Elephas maximus indicus: one gene and its partner. The protein of the gene in region 2 purifies or fractionates together with the protein of the main gene of each other region. This does not show direct contact. Links are inferred from orthologs where the notes say so. Each region holds a gene or a part of one and is shown on either strand. Other genes may lie near its edges.

The links.
Region 1: the proteins of POP4 (region 2) and RPP14 purify together in Homo sapiens (affinity purification with mass spectrometry; 3 studies listed by BioGRID and IntAct, counting the BioPlex papers as one, with this or other methods). This does not show direct contact. The link is inferred for Elephas maximus indicus from reciprocal best matches to the Homo sapiens genes POP4 and RPP14.

The regions. Positions count from the first base shown.
Region 1 is NC_064838.1:62,910,295-62,922,041, reverse strand, and holds the start of RPP14 (ribonuclease P protein subunit p14), read right to left. Parts: upstream 5,742-11,747; 5' UTR 5,507-5,741; intron 5,501-5,506; exon of another isoform or gene 5,315-5,500; intron 5,309-5,314; exon of another isoform or gene 3,311-5,308; intron 2,352-3,310; 5' UTR 2,340-2,351; coding exon 2,254-2,339; intron 2,155-2,253; coding exon 2,070-2,154; intron 1-2,069. UniProt on the Homo sapiens protein: Component of ribonuclease P, a ribonucleoprotein complex that generates mature tRNA molecules by cleaving their 5'-ends.
Region 2 is NC_064839.1:11,353,157-11,364,336, forward strand, and holds the start of POP4 (ribonuclease P protein subunit p29), read left to right. Parts: upstream 1-5,881; 5' UTR 5,882-6,108; coding exon 6,109-6,115; intron 6,116-11,180. UniProt on the Homo sapiens protein: Component of ribonuclease P, a ribonucleoprotein complex that generates mature tRNA molecules by cleaving their 5'-ends.

The DNA of each region.
Region 1 (11,747 bases), on a different chromosome or scaffold from region 2:
ACTTACAGCTCCCCTGCCTGGAAAATCCTTCCGGTACTTCTTTACATTGCTAATGTCTCCTCACACCTTTCAAGTCTTTATTTAAATTGTTTTCCCTGACCCCCAAGATGAGGCTCAATTCCAGTAGGACCCTGTTCTTCCTCTAATATGTTTTCCTACTAATGAACCAAGACCATTCACCCCATGAGGCAGAGGCTGTATGTCTATTTACAGCTATATCTCCGGGAACCAGTTTCTATTCTTGGCACATACAAGATACACAGTTTTTTTTTCTTTACCTTTTTCTTTGAAATAGGAGTTTGCAAAAGAATGTACAGGGAGTCCCCGTGCCCCTTCACCCAACCTTCCTCAATGGTAACATCTTGCATAACTTCGTAGAATATCAAAACCAGGAAAACTGATACTGGTACAATCTAGAGTTCACTCAGATCCTATCAGTTATACATGTACTAATGTTTAGGTGTGTCTGTGTAGTTTGCTGCAGTTTTATCACATACGCAGTTTCATGTTAACTACTACCACAATCAAGATAAAGCGCAGTACCGTCACACGGCTCCCTCATCCTACCCCTTTATAGTCACGCCCACCCCTTCTCCCATCCCTCAGCCCTGGCTACCACTGACCTATTCTGCAGATTCTAAAAATCATGCTATTTCAAGACTGTTACATAAACAGCATCGTGCAGTGTTTCATCTTTTGGCACTGGCTTTTCTCACTCAGCATAATTCCCTGGAGATTCGCGCAGGCTGTTGTGTGTATCAACAGTTCACTCCTTTCACTGGTAAGTGAATATTCCAAGGTATGGATGTACCAGTTTGCTCAACCATTACCCACTGAAGGACATGTGGGGTGATTCCAGGTTTTGGCTACTATAAGTAAAGCTGCTACGAACGTTTGTATACAGGTTTTTTGTGAACCTAAGTTTTCACTTCTCTGGGTTAAATACCCAAGAGTATAATTGCTGGGTTGTAAGGTAGTCGCATGTTTAGCTTTTTTTTAATAACAGAAACTGCCAAACTGTGTCCCAGGGCGACTGGGCCAGCAGCAACATGTGAGGACCCCGTGCCTCCACAGGCTCCCAAGACATGCTGCTCTCACTACTTTCAGCTCAGCCATTCTGGCAAATGCACAGTGACAGCTCACTGCTGCAGTCTGCACTTCTCTAGTGGCTGGTGATGGTGAACACCTCATGTATTTACTTGCCGTCTATATATCCTCTTTGGTGAAACGTCTGTTCGTGTCTTTTGCCCATTTTCTAATTGACTGTTTGGTTTTTCATTGTTGGGTTTTAAGGGTTCCTCCTATATTCTACATATTAGTCATCTGTCAAATGTGTGACCTGCAAATATTTTCTCCCAGTCTGTAATTCAACTTTTCATCTGTTTAACAATCTTTCGCAGAGTAAAAATTTTGATGAGGTGCTCAGCATATCTGACGAAATGTGTGAATTTCCAGAGAATTCTTCATCGTTCTCTGTCTAGACTTCTAAAACTCCACTTCTGTTTTCAAGGGAATGCTAGAACGATACTCCTCAAAGTGCTTGTCTATGACAAGGATCTTGTACCAGAATGTCAACCAACAACATCACGAAGCAAGCACCCTGCTTAGTCCAGCCTTTTCCTAAGATGACTTTCTTTCAAAAGGAAGCGGTGCAAGCCCCTCATGAGGGGAAGAGAACGGTTTGTGCCTTGCTAGTCTGGATGACACTTTGAGTAGCACTGTGCTGGAATGAGCACTTGCCTAACAAGCTCCTGTCTAAATAGAAAGCATATTAGAACAAGTCTACCAAAAACGCACCCTTTCTGAAAGTCGGCTTCTGTATTCCAAATACTGTTTTTAAATAAAGTTTTGAAGAGTTCTTTCTGTATTTCTTACAAAGACCTTAAAACCCACTGCCATTGAGTCGATTCCGACTCAGCGACCCTAGAGAACAGAGTAGAACTACCCCATAGAGTTCCCAAGGAGCGCCTGGTGGATTCAAACTGCTGACCTTTTGGTTAGCAGCCGTAGCACTTAGCCACTACGCACAAAGACCTTAGGAATGGTCAATCTACAAAGTCATTCCATACCTCCCCGAACAGGTCCTTCAAAGCCAAAATAAGCAACTGTTTGAACTGTGCAGCATTCAGTCCAATCCCATGTTCCTGAAATTCTCTGTGGAAAAAAAAAAAGAAAAAAATACATACGATTAGATTTCACGATCTTCAGACTCAACAAAGCAATCTAAAACAGAACTTGGGGGACTGAACTTACAGGCGGACTTTCATGTAGTGGTGCTCAGAGGGATTTTTGTAAACTATTCTTTCATATGTGGCAGGTGATGCTGGTATCCTTTCCATTGCTGATCACACCTACAGTAAGAGTCAAAAGGACTAGAAATTATCAAGGTATGAGCTATTTTCACATTTTTAATGAGAATTTGGAGCACTGGTGGTGCAATGGTTAAGAGCTCAGCAGCTAACCAAAAGGTCTGCTGTTTGAATTCACCAGCCGCTCCTTGGAAACCCTACGGGACAGTTCTACTCTGTCCTATAGGGTCACAATGAGTTAGAATCAACTTGATGGCAATGGGTTTTTGATTTTAACAAGAACTTGACCTATGTTTTTAAAACACCTCCTAGTACAGTAGCTCTTCTAATTCTGGTCAAATTAAGGTTATACATACAGACATTAACGAAGTCTCCATATTTCACACAAGCCAGACCACCATACTCTTAAACCCTAATAACACCCTTCCTGTTTTTTTTTTTTTTTTTTACTGAGCACTCAGCTCTGTGCTAAATGCTTACCTCATTTCTCTTCAAAATGATCCTACAAGGTAAATGCTATTATAACCCTCATTTCGAGAAAAGAAAACTAAGGCTTAGGTAACACTTGCCCAAGGGCGCCGAGGTTCCAACCATTCCTGAGTCCCCTCAGGATCACTCTGATATGATGTCTCTTAATCAAAGTAAAAAGCCCAAGCAAGTAAAACCAGGGCTCTTAAGGCCCTCTTGTTACTCCCAGCCAACACAGAACATGAAGAGGAGAATGAGGGGTGGCAGTTCTGCTGTCCCTGCCCATCCTCGGTCTGCCTGTTTTTTTAGTCTGCTTGTCCCAGGCCAGTCTGTGCAGGACTATTTGGCAGGCCAGTGAAAGGGGTTTGAGAAGGGATTCCTGGAATGGGAACTCAATGCCATTTCTAATGAATCTGGAATCTTCAAGGACTTAGACATGCTGGTTCACCTGGAGAGAATTCCTCTTCTTGGCTCTACTCCCACCTCACTCTCCACCTGGACAGCTCTTACTAATCCTTTTGGTTTTGACTTACGTGTCACCTCTTCAGGGAGGCCTTCTCTTCTTCACTGATGTTTCACCAGCACCACCAGATCCTCAGTAAACGTTTGCTGAGCGATGCAAGGAACCCCTGGTGGTGTAGTGGTTAACAGCTACAGCTGCTAACCAAAAGGCGGGCAGTTCGAACCCACCAGGCGCTCCTTGGAAGCCATATGTGGCAGTTCTACTCTGTCCTATAGAGTCGCTATGAGAACAGATTTTTTTTTTTTTTTTTGGTTTGAGTGAAAGAAATGGACAGTACCCTGGTTCTTCCCAAGACCTGTTCTAGGCCTTTACTCCAAATTAATAAAACCGGACCATATCAAACAGCAAAGACTAGAAGCACCCTTAGTGATCATCCAGCCTGACACTGCTACTTTGTAGACCAGGAAACTGAGGTCAACCAAGTGCCTTCTCCTTGGTCACACCACTATGGACTAAACCAAAACCAAACCAAACCCAGTGCCGTCGAGTCAATTCCGATTTACAGCGACCCTATAGGACAGAGTAGAACTGCCCCACAGAGTCTCCAAGGAGCGCCTGGCAGATTTGAACTGCCGACCCTTTGGTTAGCAGCAGTAGCACTTAACCGATACGCCACCAAGGTTTCCCCACTATGGAGTAGCAGGCACAAAAACCCCTCCAGGTCAGGCCCAGGTGCAACCGCGCCCTGATAATGAGCTCCAGAGAAAAATGAAAAGTCAGGATCAAAGCGCTACATCCACCCATCTATTCCACAAACACTAATATTCACGATGCCTAGCACAGAAGCAGTATTTAACAAACACCTGTCAACTGACTAAACCAGTGAATGGTGGTAGTGGTAGGCCTATGCGTTCAGGTTAAGTCTTTGGTTTCAGGACAACAGCAATAGTTGCCTAGTGCTTTGCTTTCCCAGTCACTACAGCCTCCCCTGACTAGATGAGCAGGGAAAAAAGAACCTCACCTGTCTCATTCATTGCTTGGCACATAACAGAAAAAAAAAAATTTTTTTTTCTTGTATTGTTAAAGCGTTAATGACTGTGCTGATGGAGATGGATGCCGGTGGCAGGGATAAGCATAGGTAGAACTTAAAGAGTAAACGTTCACTGAGCAGTCACTTCTCCATAAGCCTTGGTCCTCAGGCTCAGTGACAGCACGGCCCTCTGAGGACTGTCCTGAGATTAAATGAGACAATGCCTGGGAAGTGCGCCATAGAGCCTGGCATATCCACCACACTAACCAGGAAAAGTAAGCGCTCCTATAGTGACTGCCATCCCCATCTTTAGAAGTCAGCCTTTTTAATGACCGCAGGGATGCTCTTGAACTTATCTATTCCTAATACGTGGCCTCGCCTCACTCCTGTTCTCCCCAATCTATTCCCTACAGCAGCCAGAAACGATTCTAACAAAACTTACTCACACCACTCATTCCTCTGCTCAAAACCTTGCACTGGTTGCCGCTTCACTCTGAATAAATAAGGCCACACTCCTTACAGAGACCAACAAGGCCCCACCTGAACTGCACGCTGCTCCCCCGGCTCGGACCTCACTTTCTGTCGTTCTCCCCCTTGCTCGCTCCCTCCCGCCACACCGGTCTCCAGCTCCTCTAGGTTTCGGCTCTAGCTCTTCCCTGGGCCGGAAATGCTCTCCTTCCAGGTGTCACATGGCTCATGCCCTCGTCTCCTTCACAGGTTTGCTCAAACCTCACTCCTCAATTTGACCGAGTGGCCATCCTAATACCGCGAGCACCCCCTGTCCCTGTCCTTGCTCTATTCTTCTTTCCTCACGGTACTTACCGCCATCTAACACAATCGTGTAATTCACCTCCTCTTTATTTGTACTCCCCTTCCCTGCCCCAAAAACTACGCTCCAGAAAAGATAAAGAGCTTCCTGTCTTGTTCACTCCTGTCTCCCAAGAACCTAAAACCGTGCGTCGTACACAACAAAAAGCGTTCAACACACAGTTTTTGGATAAACCAGCTATTAAGAAAAAAAAAACTAACCACCCGATCCCGTACTTTTTTCGACTAACGCACTGATTTAGCGCCGACCTCGTGCCAGGTGCAGGCAGCGTGCTCTGCACACGCGCTCCTGCTCGATCCTCCCGGCCACCTCCCCGCGGTGTCCGCCGAAGGGGACAAGTCGGGACCTGCGGCGGCCCCGCACCGCCCACCAGCCCGGCCCGTGGCTCCCGCCCAGCGCGTGCGCACCTGGCGCGCGCGACCAGGCGTCAGCAGCGCGGCCGACTGAGCCGCTCCCGTGGTTTGGCCGCTGGCCCTCGGGGCTTCCGCCCACCCGCTCTCCGTCTGCCTGGCCTCGCCTGGCGCCTCCCCGGACGCTTCCTGTTCGCTGCGAAAATCTGCCACAGCTCGGGGTGCCCACGCAGAACACAGAGCCGGGGCCGAGGAAACTCCGGGCGTGTTTACATTTGCTTTCCTCTGTCCCTTCCCCCGGATGCGAGACGTCCCGGCACGGATGTGACGTCATCGTGACGTCACCCTAAGGACCCCGGCATAAGTTCTCATGAGGCGTTGGGACGGCCGAGCTCAGCGCCCCCTGGTGCCCATCGCGGGGAAAGCAGTGAGCGCAAACGCTCTATTCCATCCCTCTAGCTGGGAGCTGCTCGTTTGAGGCAACCCTGAGCTGCATCTCCAAATATGAAACTCTGAAAAGCAGGCTGTCCTTTGAGTTAGAGTCCCTAGAAAACCCGTATCCATCGAGTCGATTCCGAGTTATAGCGACCCTATATGACAAAGTAGAACTAGTCCAATAGAGTTTCCAAGGACCGGGGGTTGGATTAGTAGCCAAATTCGTAGCCACTGCGCCACCAGGCACTGATTTAAGGTAAAGCCATCTTTTTTTTTTCACTGTCCTTTCAGTGAAAGTTTACAGGTTTCAAGTTAGTTTCTATTACAAAGATTTATACAGACATTCTTACGTGAGCCTAGTTGCTCTCCCTATAATGTGACAGCACACTCTTCCTTTCCACCCCGCATTTCCCATGTCCATTCAACCCCCTCTGCCTTCTTATCTCATCTCTGGACAGGAGCTGCCCATTTAGTCTCCTGTATCTACTTGAGCTAAGAAGCACTCTCCTCATGAGTATCATTTTATGTCTTATAGTGCAGTATAATCTTTGTCAGAAGAGTTGGCTTCAGGAATGGTTTCAGTTCTGGGCTAACAGAGTCTGGGGACCATGTCTTCCAGGGTCCCTCCAGTCTCAATCAGACCATTAAGTTCGGTCTTTTTACGTGAATTTGAGTTCTGCACCCCACTTTTCTCCTGCTCTGTCAGGGACTCTCTGTTGTGTACCCTGTCAGGGCGGTCATTGGTGGTAGCCAGGCACCATCTAGTTCTTTTGGTCTCAGGTTGATGGAGTCTCTGGTTTATGTGGCCCTTCTCTTTCTTGGGCTCATATTTTCCTTATGTCTTTGGTGTTCTTCATTTTCCTTTGCTCCAGGTGGATTGGGACCAGTTGATGCATCTTAGATGGCTGCTAGCTAACTTTTAAGACCCCGGACGCCAAGTGGGATGCAGAATATTTTCTTAATGAACTTTGTTATGCCAGTTGACCTAGAAGTCCCCCGAAACCATGGTCCCCAGACCCCCGCCCCTGCTACTCTGTCTGAGGGCATCATTTTAATAAAATAATGTGAAATAAAAATAAGGACCTGCCCCTTACTGTCACAAGAGGGCACTCTGGGCCACCCCTCTGCATGCCCTTCCTTCCACTGGCAAGAAGCACTCTTCATCAGGACGCAGAATGAGGGAGGCAACTGTGAACACAGGCTTATCACCTCTTATCTGCAAGTCTGAAATCCAAAAAAGCCTGGAAGCCAAAGCTGTCTTCATTTGACGTCAGTACTCAACCTGAACTGAGGGAGACTTTTTATAGTGTTTGTCCTACTTACTGTGGATAGTCATACATTGCACAGCAGAAAAATGAATGCATTTGATCATGTAAGGCTGCCCCAGACCCCACTGGGGGTGTTACATAATATATGGTACACATACCATAATACCTTCCTAAAACTGGAAGATTTCTGAATTCTGAGTCACATCTGGTCCTGAGGGTTTTGGGACCTCTATTCAAAGTTAACATTTGGCAGTTGTCTCTCCAGTTGTTCTCAGCGACAGTTACCCACCCCCCAGCCAGCCTTGACCTCGGGGTCATTGAGACTATCACCTAGGTGCCACTTTCTGCCCCTAAGAATACTTCCTTCTCATCCCACTCCCTGCGGGAGCTCAGAGGCCTCCTAGGTGTGGACTATGGTTCCCATTCATTGCTTGCAGGGTTTAGAGGCCAAAGATTCAGAAACCAATTAAGGAAATTTCCCTTTAGGAGCCAAGGGAAGAGAACCGTCCTGTTCCTGAAAGGAGAGCTGAGCAGTCAGTCAGCCATGCTCTTTTCCCTGACTAGGCAAAAACCTTGTCCTATTGCTGGCACGGACACCCCAGATCCACATTCTGGGTGTTTCCAGTCTGGAGAATGGCGACTCCAGGCCCCAGACCTCTGGGGCAGCTAGGTATACCAAAACAGGAGCCCCAGAACTCTCCCCTTTGGGTTTGACTCTGGCAGGTAGTTTATGACATCTCCACTGCCCCATTTGTGGCTATATTCTCACCCCCCACCCCGAAAAAAACCAAACTTTTGTATCTGCCTCACTGAAGGGAATTGAGAGGTTTTGAGAGCAGCATCCAATCTGGGTTGGAGGGGAGGCTGATGGGAAAATCCAGGCTGTGTGGTCACAGGAGTGGCACTGGAAGAGATAAAAGATGATGCGTTGGTAGAGCCAGCGTTCCCGTTGTTAGGGGGTAGGGTGCCTGAGTGTGGCATGAGAGACAGACAAAACAGAGACAAACAAAAATGGAAAGAGACCAAGAGAATGGAAGAAAAAACAAAACTCCCAAATCTGACCAAAGCGTCTTTCAGCAAGCCCATTTCTGAAACAGACCCACTGAGTTGCCACTTTTAATAAAAGGCTTCTCAGCCTAATACAAGGAGGTCCCCCAAAGCAGAACACACTTCACTGTGGATGTTAAAATCTGCATTCATCATTTTAGAAAGATGTTATTAACTAACCAGTCCATGATTATCTTGAGATCGGTATTTAGGGCTTGGGAAGTATATAAGGGGGCCTAAGTCTGGCATTTATGTTTAATTAAACCCCCAAATTTGCCTAAAGGCAGTGGGTATGCACTTGGCTGGTAAGAGTCCAGGCTGTTGACCTTTCTCTTCAAAGGCCACGTGTCTCCAAGCGTGCTTTTCACACTTGGCCTCCTGACGGGCAATGAGACCCAGCTGAGACTTCTCCCCAGGGAAACTGCTTTGGACAAACAGTGCGGATTGTAATTTCCAGAGCATGGGGTGTGTGTGTGCGGGGGGGGGGGGGTGTGGGTGTGGGTGTGGGTGTGTGTGTGTAGGGGTATCAGTGAGGGGAACAAGCCACACCAGTCCTGATTGATGAGAGGCTGGAAAGAGGAAGGCAGGCTGTCCCCTGGTGCACCCTTAGGATGATGCTGGAATCCAGGTGAGCTGTTTCCTGCCTGGGCATGGGATGTCCTTAATTATTTGCAGAATGAATGACTGGATTGCCTTCCCCAGCAGGAGCCCAAGCCAAGAGGCATGGCCTTGGTGATGTTAGGCTAAAGCTGCTGCACACCAGCCTGAGCCAGGTGATCCTGGAGGGCTGTCTGTCCTGCTGACAGTGCTTCAGGCTCAACGGGTAAGATGGGCAGGAGGGTGCCTACCTGAACTGGTGAAAGTACTGTTTTTGTATGTCAATTATAAAGAGAGAAGCTTCCCTCTACTTGTCAGCTGTGTGATCTTGGGCAAGATACTTCACCTCTCCATGCCTTGGTTTCCATGGCTGTAAAATGGGCACAGGGTTGGCCTTACCTCCTAGGGCTGGGAGACAGCTTGGTGAGGTGATGCATGGAAAACACAGAATAGCACCTGGCACACAGTTGTGTGATTCAGTTCTCCATCCTGGCCTGACATGCATTCCAATCCCAGAATTTTCTGGGAACTTGCACCAGGCAACCAACATGTAAGGTTCCCTGGGATGGGAAATACTCACCGGGGCTCAAGTGGAAAGCATAGACTTACAGCCCAGGCAGCACTGCTGAACAGGGCAGCTGTCATTCCTGGTGTCACCTCTGTCTTGGACAACAAGTCCAGACTGATGGCAAATTGAGTTCTGACCACTGCTTGTCCCTTGGCCTCTTCAATACCTGTCCAGGTGAGTCCACCCTCCTAGGAGGCCCAACTCCAGGCAATGAGATCAAGAACCCAGTCGTGATTCCTGGGGCTTTGCATTGTTATTTGGGAATCTCCTGGAAGTCTTTCAGGGAGGGATGAAGCCTAAGACTATCATTAAAGGCACACACCATAGGGCCCAGTGGGGTGTGTGTGTTGGCAGGGGGCAGCTAGCTGGCAGTAACCAGCAAGCTGGTCATAATCACAAAGGCAGGAAATGGGGAGCAAGGGGGAGCTGTCCTTTTCTGCTTTCCAGTCTTCCTCTCACAGTGGAGCTGGAACTGCAGAGCCAAGGGAGAACCTTGAAAACCCACTTTAAGGCTTACCCCAAGATGACTCTTCCATATTCTCTGCTCATAACTCCAGTCAGTGTTTTCTGGTAATAGCAGAGGAGATGGGAGCTATATCCTGCTGCAGATCTGCCCACTGACTTCCACAGCTGGGTGGACAGCACACACCCTGCCTGAATGGTCCCTCTGTGGGGGCAAGGGAAGGCCTCCTGATGTGCTCCTTGGCTGTTATCCAACCCAGAACATAATAACTTTCCCCATAGCAGGGTTTCTGGTTTGCAGTACTTATACTAGTCTGCAGCTCTTTCAGTGGTCCTGAGGAGACCATCTCTCACCACTCATACCCACCAAGATGGACCACCTCTACCAGAACCTCACTCACCTCAGACTTCCTGTGAATATAGAAGGGTGAAACAAGCCTGGTATTGACTTTCTTTTCTCTTTCATTGATTTCTGCACTTACCTATATTATATCCTTCTATTTCCTTTAGGTTTGATTTCCTACTTCTTGAGATGGAAACTTAAAAGATCGACTTTGAGCCTTTCTTCTTTTCTAGTCTATGTATTTAGGCTATAAATTTCCCTCTGAGCACTGCTTTAGCTGTATCTTGCAACTCTGATATGTTTTCATCTTTTTGTTTTTTAAGATCTGTGTTCCACTCTTATAAATTAAAATATTCAGATTAAGCCCAGAATTCCTTTTTAAATGATAAAGTTCTTCTCGCTCTGTTTCCAGAACTACTTGGCTGTAGCCTCTCTGTAACAGGATTTGAAGGAATTAAGCTCCTGGGGCTGTTAGGGCAGAAACGGTAACTAAATGCAGCAGAAGATGGTCATAAGGAACAGTTGGGTGACTCTTGCCCTTTGTTTTGTGTTTTTTTTTTTTTTAACATTTTATTGTGCTTTTAGGTGAAAGTTTACAGAGCAAATTAGTTTCCCATTCAGTAATTTATACACAAGTTGTTTCGACCTTGGCTGCAATCCCCACAATGTGTCAGCACTCTTCCCCTCTCCACCCTGAAGTCCCCATTTCCATTTTTCTGATTTTCCTGCCCCTTCCTGTTTTCTCATCTTTGCCTTTGGCCAGGAGTTGCCCATTTGACCTCGTACACCTGATCGTTCTCTGAAGCATGTTCCTGACGTGTTACTCTGTTTCAGAGACCTGTCTAATCTTTGGCTGCAAGGTGGACTTGAGGAGTGGCTGACCTTTGCTTTTGTATGCATTTTCAACTGAATAAAAACTGCAAATGTGATTTCTTAAAAGGAAACTCATAAATCATCCAAGCCAAGACTTCCACTGCCTGGAGATCTAGCCTTACTTTAAAAAACACATTTTAACATTAAGAGCAAATCTGCCACCGCTGCACTCAATGAGGAGCTTCCATATAGAAACCATCTGCTTGTAGCTGATCTAGACTGAGCAAATTTATTCCATGTCATTGTGGTCACTTCTACAGCTGTTGGGACTTATTTTCAATCACGTTACTGTTCACAGAATTCACAGAATTCATAAACAAGCTAGTATTTTATATCCAAGGGCTTTCAGTAGCACAACAAAATAGAAAAGAGGCCCATGAGCTACTTGTGTGTAGAACCCCAATTTGATTTTTAGATAGATGTCTAGAACCTTATTGCTTTATTAGTCCTATTTTGAAAAATGATAAATTATTCCAGGAAACTCCCCCATCCAGTGTGCTTCATACTGCGTGACTGCTCCAGCTGCACTGGTGACACACTGGATGCGTGGGTGTCGAACACATCAACCACCTGTGGTCTCCACTGCTCCAGCAGCTCTGAGCATGGCCATTTCCCCCTGGTCCTGCAGCTGACGGGCTGCGTTCATTATGAGTCTCTGTGTAAAGCTGAAATCAGACATAAACAGTAGGGGCTCAATGAACACGC
Region 2 (11,180 bases):
CAGCTGATGGCTCCCAAGGGCCAGCTATTCAGAGGTGGAAACTCTGCACAGGGCTCCAGGCAGTGTGCAGTGGCCCTCAGGGCCCAGAGAGAACAGTTTCCCAGGACCACCTCCCTCCTAGGGCTGCAGGAGGCAGCAAAGAGTCCCAAGGCTCCCTTCATTAAACAAACCCGATGCTGTTGAGTCGATTCTGACTCATTGCGACCCTATAGGACAGAGCAGAACTGCCCCATAGGGTTTCCAAGGAGCAGCTGGTGGATTCGAACTGCTGACCTTCTGGTTAGCAGCTGAGCTCTTAACCACCACGCCACTAGGGCTTGCTTCATTAAACTGACAGTCCTCAGGTCTTGTGGGAACTCAATAAATATTTATCAGGTGATTGAAAGGGAAGAGTGGGTGTGGTCTGAGAAGTGCTCTCAGCACTTTGAAATTGTTAAGTTTGAGCAGGCAGGCACTTGCCACCACAAAGAACACTGAGAGGATCTTTCAGTGCTGGAACTTCCATTTCTCTGCTGCAATTCCGTATCCATTCACCCACTCCGAACCTCTTCTCCTCTAAGTTATTTGACCTATCACTAACAGCTATTTCTGAGGCCCGGCTCAAACATCTGCGTCATCTGTGGTTCTGTTCTGGCAATTGGTTGCTTCTCTTTATTACAGGTCATAGTCTTCTGTTTCTTTGTGTTATGTTATTTTTTAACGTAAGCTGGATGTTGTGTGTTAAAGAACAGTAGAGACTGGAGAAGAACAAAGGTATCTCCGCCTCCCAGGAAGGGCACACCTTTTCCTCCGCCGGGCAGTGATGCTGAGCAGCCGGTGGCGTCACTGAATCAGGGGTCAACCAGTCAGTTGCAGGTTTAAATAGTTTCTGGTCCCCTCTGGCTTCAGCTGTCTTGAAGGCTTTGGGATCCAAGCACAGAAAAGCAAGATCTCTTTGCCTCCACCCCTGTCCCCATTCCAGTTCAGAGTGATTTCCCATCAGCTTTCTCCCTCTCGCTTGCCCATATCTGGGGCCAGAATGGACTAACAGGTAAACACACAGATCTCACACCACTGGAGGCTTCCTCAAAGTCAAAGGCAGGTCAGAACAGGTGAGAGGAAGTGTGGGTGGGATTCATGTCCCCTACAGCCTGCAGACCCCTCAGGTGCCTGAGGAATGACCCCATACATACACTGAAGGAAATCACTTATGACCCCAAGAGCCTCATGTCACCCAAACACTCCACCCATGCAGGCCAAAGCCACGCTCACCTCGATGGGCCAGGTGAGTAGAGCCCCTCAGGGAACTGGACTCTATTATAATTGTATTTTACACATTTAGGACCAAGGTGGCCTCAAAGAGTGACTCCTGCAGGTCAGAAGACTGGGGAAATTTGGATTTCGGGGGCTGAAATACCAGATATACCAAGTGTTATGGTTCTGGCTTTTCAGAATCCAAACGGTTGTCTTAAACTGACATTTGCTGTTCCTGGGACTTGGAGATTAGGGTGCGGTGCTGCCTTTGGACCAGAAGGTCAATATGTGGGCCTCTGCCAACTTCAGGCCTTTGATTCCCATGGCCAGAAAATACACCACCCGGCAGAAAGGGCCAGTTTTTGGACTAGCCCCTGACTGCCTCTTCTCTGAGGGGATAGTCGCCCACAGCGCTATGGAACCCAAAGAATGATTGCTGGCGCCACCACGTCCAGGTGTTTGAACATCCACCCCTGAGACACCCAGCTTAGCTTGTCAAGCCAACACCGTTCCTGGACCAGGGTAAATATCAAGGGCAAAGCAAGAGCAAGGGAGCTTATAACCTTGAGTTTTGGGTACTGCTCCATCTTCGTGAAGATGCAGGCCAGGGTGGCTATCTTCTCTTAAAGTGTGCTGTCTGTGCCAGGCCGTTTTACCATGCACAGCACCTCAGAGTGCTCCAAGCCACTATGTCACATGGATAGTTAGCAGCAGAAACAGAACTGGAAGCTAAGCCGCCTATTCCAAGTCCAGTGCTGCTGCCGCACAGTGGGTGCTACCTCGGCTGATCTGTAGAGAACGCTGACTAGGGGCCCCAGACCCTGCTCCCACCATCAACATCCCATCCCATTCCACAGCAGGTCCTGTTGTCAACCTCGTTTTACATACAAGAACTTAATCACACAGGCACCAGACCTTCTTGTTGGAGAAAAGCAGCAAAGGCCTCTTCCCTTTCAAATGTTTATTTAAAACACACACACACACACACACACACACACATACACATATATATAATTATCCTTTATATATTTTTATATAAATATATTTTATATGTGCGGCATATATAATATAGTCGACATTTCTAATTTGGACGATTTCAGCTTTCACCAAAGACAAAGCTGTAAAAATGGCATGGAGCGGGGGTGGCATCTGACCTTCCCGAACTTCACAAGGGCTGGGGAGGAAATCAAGATCAACAGCCCCAGGCTGACTGCTATAAGGAAGAGGTCAGACATGTCTCTACCCTCCAACTTCTTTATCAATTCTGACACCAGCCGTCCCTCCCACGGCACTCTCTACTTCTCTGCTGGGTTTGATAATTTGTTGCAATGGCCACACAGAACTCACAGGTAATACTCACGACTGTGGGGCTATTTGGGAGGTAACAGGTGACAACTCAGGATCAGGAACACTCAGGACATAGTTCTCTGACCAGGACAGCCTCTTCTCAGCCATGCCCACAGACAGGCCTCTCTTTGGCCCTTGGCCCAGCCTCTGCCCTGCTCAGGCAGGTGTTAAGGAGCTCTTTAGATCCACCAGTAAGTACCGGGGTAATCCACTCTGCCAGGAAGCCTCCTGCCTGAAGGCACTCAGCTCTCTCCCTCAGCACAGCCACTGCAACTACCTTGCTCCATGGGCCAGGAAGCTCACTGTGCCATCTTGCACTGGTCTCCTGGTTCTGCTGCCACTGATTCTCGTCATCATGTGCCGTCTCTGGTGTTACAGCTCTTTCTGTCTCCTGGATCTAGGAGGTTCTCAGCACAAGGACTCTGGGTCCAAAGGACATGACCCATTCCTATCTCTTTTTCTTGGTGATAGTAAGGTCGCCCCTTTCTGCCTCTGGGATGGCTCATTTTAAGCCTAGTGGGATGGCAAAATTGACCAATACCCTCATTAGGGTTCCACACACCTTATGTGTATGGTCACACCCCCACAAGGGTGTCATGCACCTTACTTGCATTATTACCAAGCTATCCAATCCCCTAGGTGGGTCATCAACACCTTATTTGCCCAGTCCCACCCAGTCACTTGGTGGGAGTCCAAGACCAGGGCAAGAAAGGCCACATAAAAGTGGTCCATTGCATTGCAAAAGCCTTCCGTATTCTCACTGCAGGTTTGCTGGTATTTCTTCAGGATCATTACCTTTCTTTATACTTAAAGGACCAGCAGGAAATGCTACTAGAAATAATATTTTTCTCTGCTCCAAAAGCAGAGGAAAGGCTGCAGAAAGAATACTTTTCCACTGTATTATCACAGGCTATTGGATAAACTAAGGAGCCCTGGTGGAGCAGTGGTTAAGGGTTCAGCTACTGAACAAAAGGTCAGTGGTTCAAACCCACCAGCTGCTCTGTGGGAGGAAGATGTGGCAGTCTGCTTCCATAAAGTTCACAGCCTTGGAAACCCTATGGGGCAGTACTACTCTGTCCTATAGGGTCACTATGGGTTTGGTTTTGTTGTTTTTTTTTAGGGATGAGGCCAAGGGCTCTTCCCCCGTGATTGTAATGCAGTCATTTAATTAACCCACCTAACTAATTTGCACAAACTTCACTGACCTAATCCACTATGGGTGGATATCAGGTTGTTTCCAGGTTTCTGCTATTATAGATGACAATCACAAATACCCTTACAGGGTATATATGTACATAATTATTTCTGAAGACAATAGAGTGTTCTGTTTGCTTTTTAAAAAAAAACTTTACTAGCCAGGTGACCACAGCATAACTGCAGCTCCAGGACTGCCCATTCCGCCACCCCAACACACTAAGACCAAAAATCTAACAAAAACTGGCAGTCATCCAGTGCGGCCTCGGCTACTTGAGAAAGGGTCAACTGGGAGTTAAGAGTCCTATAAACCTAGGAAAGACGCTATCAAAAACAGAGGACCACCTTCTACTGGGAGCTACTCTTGAGGCTGTAACACTGAAATTGTTTCTATTTCCTGCTGTCTCACACTGCTATCTCAAAGTTCACACTTGTCCAACAACATTGAATGGATCCCCAAAAGGACTTCTTCAAACTCCCACAGACTCCTAACTATTCAAGGCATCTGCAAGTTCAGCAAATGTTTGTTTAAATGATGTTGCCAACTTGACAATAGCCTATATATCTGGATAAGCCATCTAACTGCCACTCCATTTCAGGGCCTGTCTTCAAGATCTAAATTGCACCAGTCACCAACCGAGGAAGTTTTGAAGGCAATGTTTCTCAAGTTGTGGTCTGTGGACATATTCTCAGGGTTCCCTGAGCATTTTTTCCCCCCGTAGGGTCGCTATGAGTCGGAATCGACTCAGTGGCAGCGGGTTTGGTTTTTTGGTTTTGGAAAAGGGGTTTATACAGCACTCAAGGTTGAAAACCACTGATTCAGAATGCCTCCACCCCAGCTACATGTAGGAGCCTGTCACTCTGCAGGTGGTGCGTCCTGAACAGCCTTGGTGGAAGGAAGAACAGTGCTCTGCTCTCCCGCACTGCACCCAGCCCAGACCCAGCACTTTGAAGAAATTAAGCCACAGTTCTGGACAGTACCAGGGCACTTCTGAGGGGTCAGTACCAGGATTTCCTGTCACACTTGGACCCTCTCCCAAAGGGTCTCACAAAAGCACTCAGAGAAAGGGCCACATAAACCAGACCCTATGTCAGCCTGAAACCAGAAGAACTAGATGGTGCCCAGCTACAACAGATTACTGCTCTGACAAGGAGCACAACAGAGAACCCCTGAGGGAGCAGGAGAGCAGTGGGACACAGACCCCAAATTCTTGTATAAAAGACCAGACTTAATGGTCTGACTGAGACTAGAAGGACCCTGGTGGTCACAGCCCCCAGACCTTCTCTTAGCCCAAGACAGAAACCATTCCCAAAGCCAACTCTTCAGGCAGGGATTGGACTGGACAACGGGATAGAAAATGATACTGGTGAAGAATGAGCTTCTTGGATCAAGTAGACATAAGACTACCTTGCCATCTCCTATCTGGAGGGGAGACAGGAGGGCAGAGTGGGTCAGAAACTGGCAGAATGGACAGGAAAAGACAGAATGGAGGGAAGGAGTGTGCTGTCTCATTACGGGGAGAACAATTAGGGGTAGACAGCAAGCTGTGTATACACTTTTGTATGACAGACTGACTTGATTTGTAAACTTGCACTTAAAGCACAATAAAAATTAAAAAAAAAAAAACTGAGAGAAAAAAAAGCTCTAGAGACCATCGAGTCCGACTCCATTCACAGGACAGATAGGAAAAGTGAGGCCCAGAGACGGGGAGTACCTTAAGCGAGATGATACAGCTAGTTAGCAGCAGAGACAGAACTAGAGGCTAAGCTGCTTATTTCAGGTCAGCGTCCCTAGCCCCCAGTGGCTGCCACCTGGCTGGTCTACAGAGAGCACTGACTGCGGGCCCCGTAGACGCCATTCCCATCATCAACACCCCCGTCCCATGTCTGCCCTCTCCGGGTCCCCAGTCTCCCTCTTATCCTCTCGCCCGGCTCTGCCTCAGACCTCAGCAGGCATTCCACAACCCTACTAATCCTGGCTGCCCCGGCCTACGTGCACCACGACCTGAAAAGGCTACAAGAACCGGAGCTGCTACTACGTTTCCCGGCCGCCGAAGCGGCGCCGAGGCGCATGCGCCACCCTACGTCGGCGTGCGTCAGTGACGTCACGAGAGGCGCCATCTCCGATCCCCGAGTGCGTCTGACTCTTGCTGCAGGTGGGAGCGTGTCAGTCTCTCGGTGACGCGTCCCGCGCAGCCCCGGCAGAAGGATCCTGTCCGCCGCAAACTTTGACGAGAGAGGCTTTGGGTGCCGACCGCTGCTGAAGAAAGTGGAGAGAGGAGTGAGCGGCGCCTGAGGGAGACGTCATCACAGCGCACCGGAAGAGATTCGAGAATGAAGAGTAAGCGGGGCTCGGGGCCACGAAATCGGAGAAGGGTGGGAATATAAAGGGTCGGGGACTTGGTGCTGGTAGGGAACATGGTTCTGGGCTACCTGTCGCTGCAGAGTCCGAACGGAGCTGCTACGGAAATTGTCCCACCTTACTTAGGAGAAACCGAGTCCCGGAGTGCGGGCTTGATGTCTGAGCTGGAGGCAGGTTCTCCAGGCGGGCTGCTCGTTGGTGTGTCATGCTGGTGGAGGCTCCAAAGCTTTGGTCAGACTTGGCCACCCCTCCTCTGGGTGACAGTAATCAACTACTTCCTCCTCTCTGTGGCCTGGTTTCGCCTTCGGTAAGGTACTGATGTTGATACCTGCCCAGCCTGCCGTGAACGATCCTTGTCAGGTGTAAAGCGCTGGGATCCTGCTGGGGAAGTATGTCACTAACCTAAGGCGTTGGGAATCCAGCAGAGGAGAGATGAGCGAAGGAGGAAAGAAGCACCCAAGGCGATTATAGGCAAATGAGTGTAGACACTGCTGAGGCTGGGCTTCGGGTCAGGATTTTGAGGTCCACCTCTCCCACTCCTACCTGTGTGATCAAGTTAAACCTGAACGTCAATTTTCTCATGGGCATAACATGCATAATAACTGCTTTAAAGGGTAGTTTGAAAATTAATGAAATAAAACTTGTAGCTTCTAATCAGGTGCTGGCAAGTAATGAGTGCTCAGTTACACTTTGTTGTGTATGATTGCAGAAAAGACTTTCAAGTCTCCTGCTAAACACTTGTGACAGGTAAAGCAAAGCTGATGATTCCTGGGGTCCCAGGCTCTACAAACAGGTTATAATCCCCATCTCCCATATGAGGGAGAACTAGACCCCGTATATAAAACCTGTAACCACCTTGGCCTGACCGTTCAAACATGAACCCAGGGAAGCACAAGGGAACAGGGATAGAATTTATAGAGTGTAGTGCAAACCAAGATGTCTAGTCATTTGGCCCTTAAGCCAAGCCTGTGTCTTGCTCTTACTCCATTCGCATCCATATTCTGCCTCCAATGCCACAGTTTTCTACTGAGACAAATGAGGTAAGAAACAGGAGCGTGGACATATTTAGAGGTTGAAACCACATTAATCAACATACACTTTGAGTTTAAAGAATGACTGTGTCATCAGTTCTAGGACACCATCAATTATATGACACATTGCAACTTCCTAGATGTTAAAATGTGAAAAACATTTTTTTTTAATCTTACAATCACCAAAAGATAGTACAGTCAGTTCTAATTATTCGAGGTAGTTATGTTCAATAAGGAAACCCTGGTGGCATAGTGGTTAAGACATATGGTTGCTAACCGAAAGGTCAGCAGTTTGAATCCACCAGGCGCTCCTTGGAAACTCTATGGGGCAATTCTACTCTGTCCTCTAGGGTCACTATGAATCAGAATCAACTCAACAGCAATGAGTTTTTTTTTTCTTTTAAATGTTCAATAAAGTCACCTCAAACCCTCAGTTAGGGAATGCTGAATCGTAGTTCCCAGGGGAGCTACGAGGCTAGGTTCCCGTAATCCTGTGGTCACATTTTGTCGGCTGATCAGTACCTAACTTTGTTTTATGTATGTTTCATTAACATTGAACTCATGGCCGGCAGCACGATAACTGTAATTCATGAACTATAACTCCCTGCGTGTCTGACACACGTATTTTCTCCATGGGGGACATCACACCCTCCTCGCACTTGGGAACACCTGACTGAACTTCAGCACTACACTTGGGGGCCAACAAAAACCACACGAATGTGAAACATGTGCCACTAAATAGATCATGAAAAGGATGCAGTATGAGAGCTAAAACAAGGAGGCAGAGTGTCGCTTTGTTCAACCACAGCTGGAGATGTGAGCCTCAGATGACTGAGATTTTTCGCTGCTCTTCACGTGTCCACAAATGACTGCAAAAGCACCACGAGTATTAATTTTGGGTTTACAAATAAATTTTAGCAAGTAGGTGAATTCACAAATACGGAATCCGTGAGTAACGAGGATTGACTGTGTTTCCACCCATCTGTGTCCTGGACAGCAATTTCCCGTGACTTAAATGAGTTACTTCAGTAGGCATATTGAGCAACTGCTCAAGCTTCTAACCTATGGTATTTTAAACCATGCCTCTCATAAAGCGTGGTCCCCTGACCTGCCGTAGCGTCTGGAAGCTTGTTAGAAATACAGGCTCTGGAGGAGGCGGAGCCAAGATGGCCTAATAGACAGACGCTTCCGTGGAGCCCTCTTTACAACAGAGACCCGAAAAAACAAGGGAAATGAGTATATTTGTCACAAGCTGGGAGCCCTGAGAATCAAAGGCAAGCTTAGACAACGAACCGAGGGGCAGGGGAAGGAAGAGACCATTCAGAAGCGGAGAGGAGTTCCGGGCCCTGAATCGCAGGGAGCCCTCAGGCACCATTCCTGGAGCAGCGGCGGCGGTAGGCTGGTCCTAGCATTCGGCCGTAGTTTCCATAGGGAGAAGCAGCCAGCTACACAGCCCCCTCACACCTCCTGAACCTGAGCAGAAGGGCGCTCTCGGCAAAAGCTAAGTACTTGCGTATATTTTACCATGCCCCCCGCGCCCCCAGGCCAGCTTCAGCAGCTGAATCCCTGGGCCTCAGATAGACCCTGGTGAACACCTGGAGCCGTCCTCCTGGCCTTGGGGAAGGAAAAAATTTCCAACTGGGGGGAAAAGAAAATTTGTTAGCTCCATTAATGGGGGGAGCTCAGGACAGAAGTGGCTCCTGCCCAGGCATAAACTGTGGACCTTGAGCACCTTTCTCTTCTGCATGGACCTGTGTGGGCCTATTTCGGGAAAATAGGCCCTTGTTGGCAAACTCCAACCATTTCATCGGTGCACTGGAGAGGTGGGTGTTTGACATTTGACATTGCTTTGGCTATTGAACAAGGTCCTCATCTACCCACAACAGGGACCTAAGGACTGCTGGCTCCACTTGGGTCACCCAGCCACCCACGACAGGGGCCCAGGGATAACTGGTACCTCCCAGTCCTTACAACAAAATCTTTGGGTGCCCGTGGTCCCTCTGCAGAGCCCACCCACCAGCACGCTCTAGGGAGCAGAGATGCGTATTCCTTAGAGACACTTGGGGGTCGGCTCTCAGCCCCTGCCTTGTTCAGAGCGTGACCTCCTGCTGCAATCAGATGCAGATATATACGCCAATCACCCCTGCCCCTCTAAGACTGTAGGACAGAGCCTGTACCACACACTTGATATCACCTACCTGGAAACCTGAGCTGAATTCATACAAGAAAACTGAATGGACTCCTAGACTGATATACCTGATAACAGCTCTAGCCAGCTGGGGACAGGACACCAGAGCTCCAAAGGCGAAAATAATCAAGCTAGCTCACTCAAGCAACCCATAGGGGTATACCAAAACAAAACAAAGCAAGCAGCTACGACACAGTAAGCAAGCATAAAGTAATACAATAACTTATAGATGGCTCGGAGACAACAGTCAATATCAAGTCACATAAAGAAACAGGCCAGGATCACCTCAACAGGCTTTCAAAAAATCCAACGATCTTTTAGATGAAAGGGCATTTCTGAAATTACCAGATGCAGAATACAAAAGTTTAATATACAGAACCCTTCAAGACATCAGGAAGGAAATGAGGCAATACACAGAACAAGCCAAGGAACACGCAGATAAAGCAATTGAAGAAATGAGAAAGATTATTCAGGAACATAATGAAAAGTTTAATAAGCTGGAAAAATCCATAGACAGACAGCAATCAGAAATTCAGAAGATTAACAATAAAATTACAGAATTAGATAACTCAGTAGAAAGTCAGAGGAGAAGAAATGAGCAAGTAGAAGATAGAATTTCTGAACTCGAAGATAAGTCACTTGGCACTAACGTATCTGAAGAAAAATCACATAAAAGAATTTTAAAAAATGAAGAACCCCTAAGAATCATGTGGGACTCTATCAAGAGAAATAACCTAAGAGTCATTGGAGTACCAGAACAGGAAGGGATAACAGAAAATACAGAGAAAATTGTTGAGGATTTGTTGGCAGAAAACTTCCCTGCTATCGTGAAAGATAAGAAGATATCTACCCAAGATGCTCATCGAACTCCACATAAGGTAGATGTTAAAAGAAAGTCACCAAGACATATTATAATCAAGCTTGCCAAAACCAAAGATAAGGACCCAATTATAAGAGCAGCGAGGAATGAAAGGAAAGTCACCTACAAGGGAGCGCCAATAAGAATTAAGCTCGGACTACTCGGCAGAAACCATGCAGGCAAGAAGGCAATGGGATGACATATTTAAAAAATTGAAGGAAAAAAATTGCCTGCCAAGAATCAAATATCCACCAAAACTGTCACTTAAATTTAAAGGTGAAATTAAGACATTTCCAGATAAACACAAGTTGAGGAATTCGTAAAAATCAAACCAAAACTACAAGAAATACTAAAGGGAGTTCTTTGGTTAGAAAATCAATAATAGCAGGTATTGACCCAAGACTAGAACACGGGGCAGAGCAACCAGAAGTCAACCCAGACAGGGAAATCCAAAAAAAAAAAAAAAAGCCCAACACAGGGTAACGACAATGTTATCATATAAAAGAAGAAAACATTAAAATAATAAAGAGGGACTAAGAAATGTAATCATGCAACTTCCATATGGAGAGGAAGATATGGCCGTACAAAGAAATAAAAGTTATAAATTTAGAAAAATAAGGGTAAATAATAAGGTAACCACAAAGGAGACAAACTATCCTACTCATCAAAATAAAATACAAGGGAAAAATACAGACTCAGCAGAAACAAAATCAACGACGACAAATATGAGGAAAGGACAATATATAAAGAAAATCTACTCAGCACATAAAATCAAGTGGGAAAAAGAAACTGTCAACACACAAAAAAAGACATCAAAATGACAGCACTAAATTCACACCTATCCATAATTACCCTGAATGTAAAAGGACTGAATGCACCAATAAAGAGACAGAGAGTGGCAGAATGGATTCAAAAAAAAATCCGTCAATATACTGTCTACAAGAGACACACCTTAGACTTAGAGAC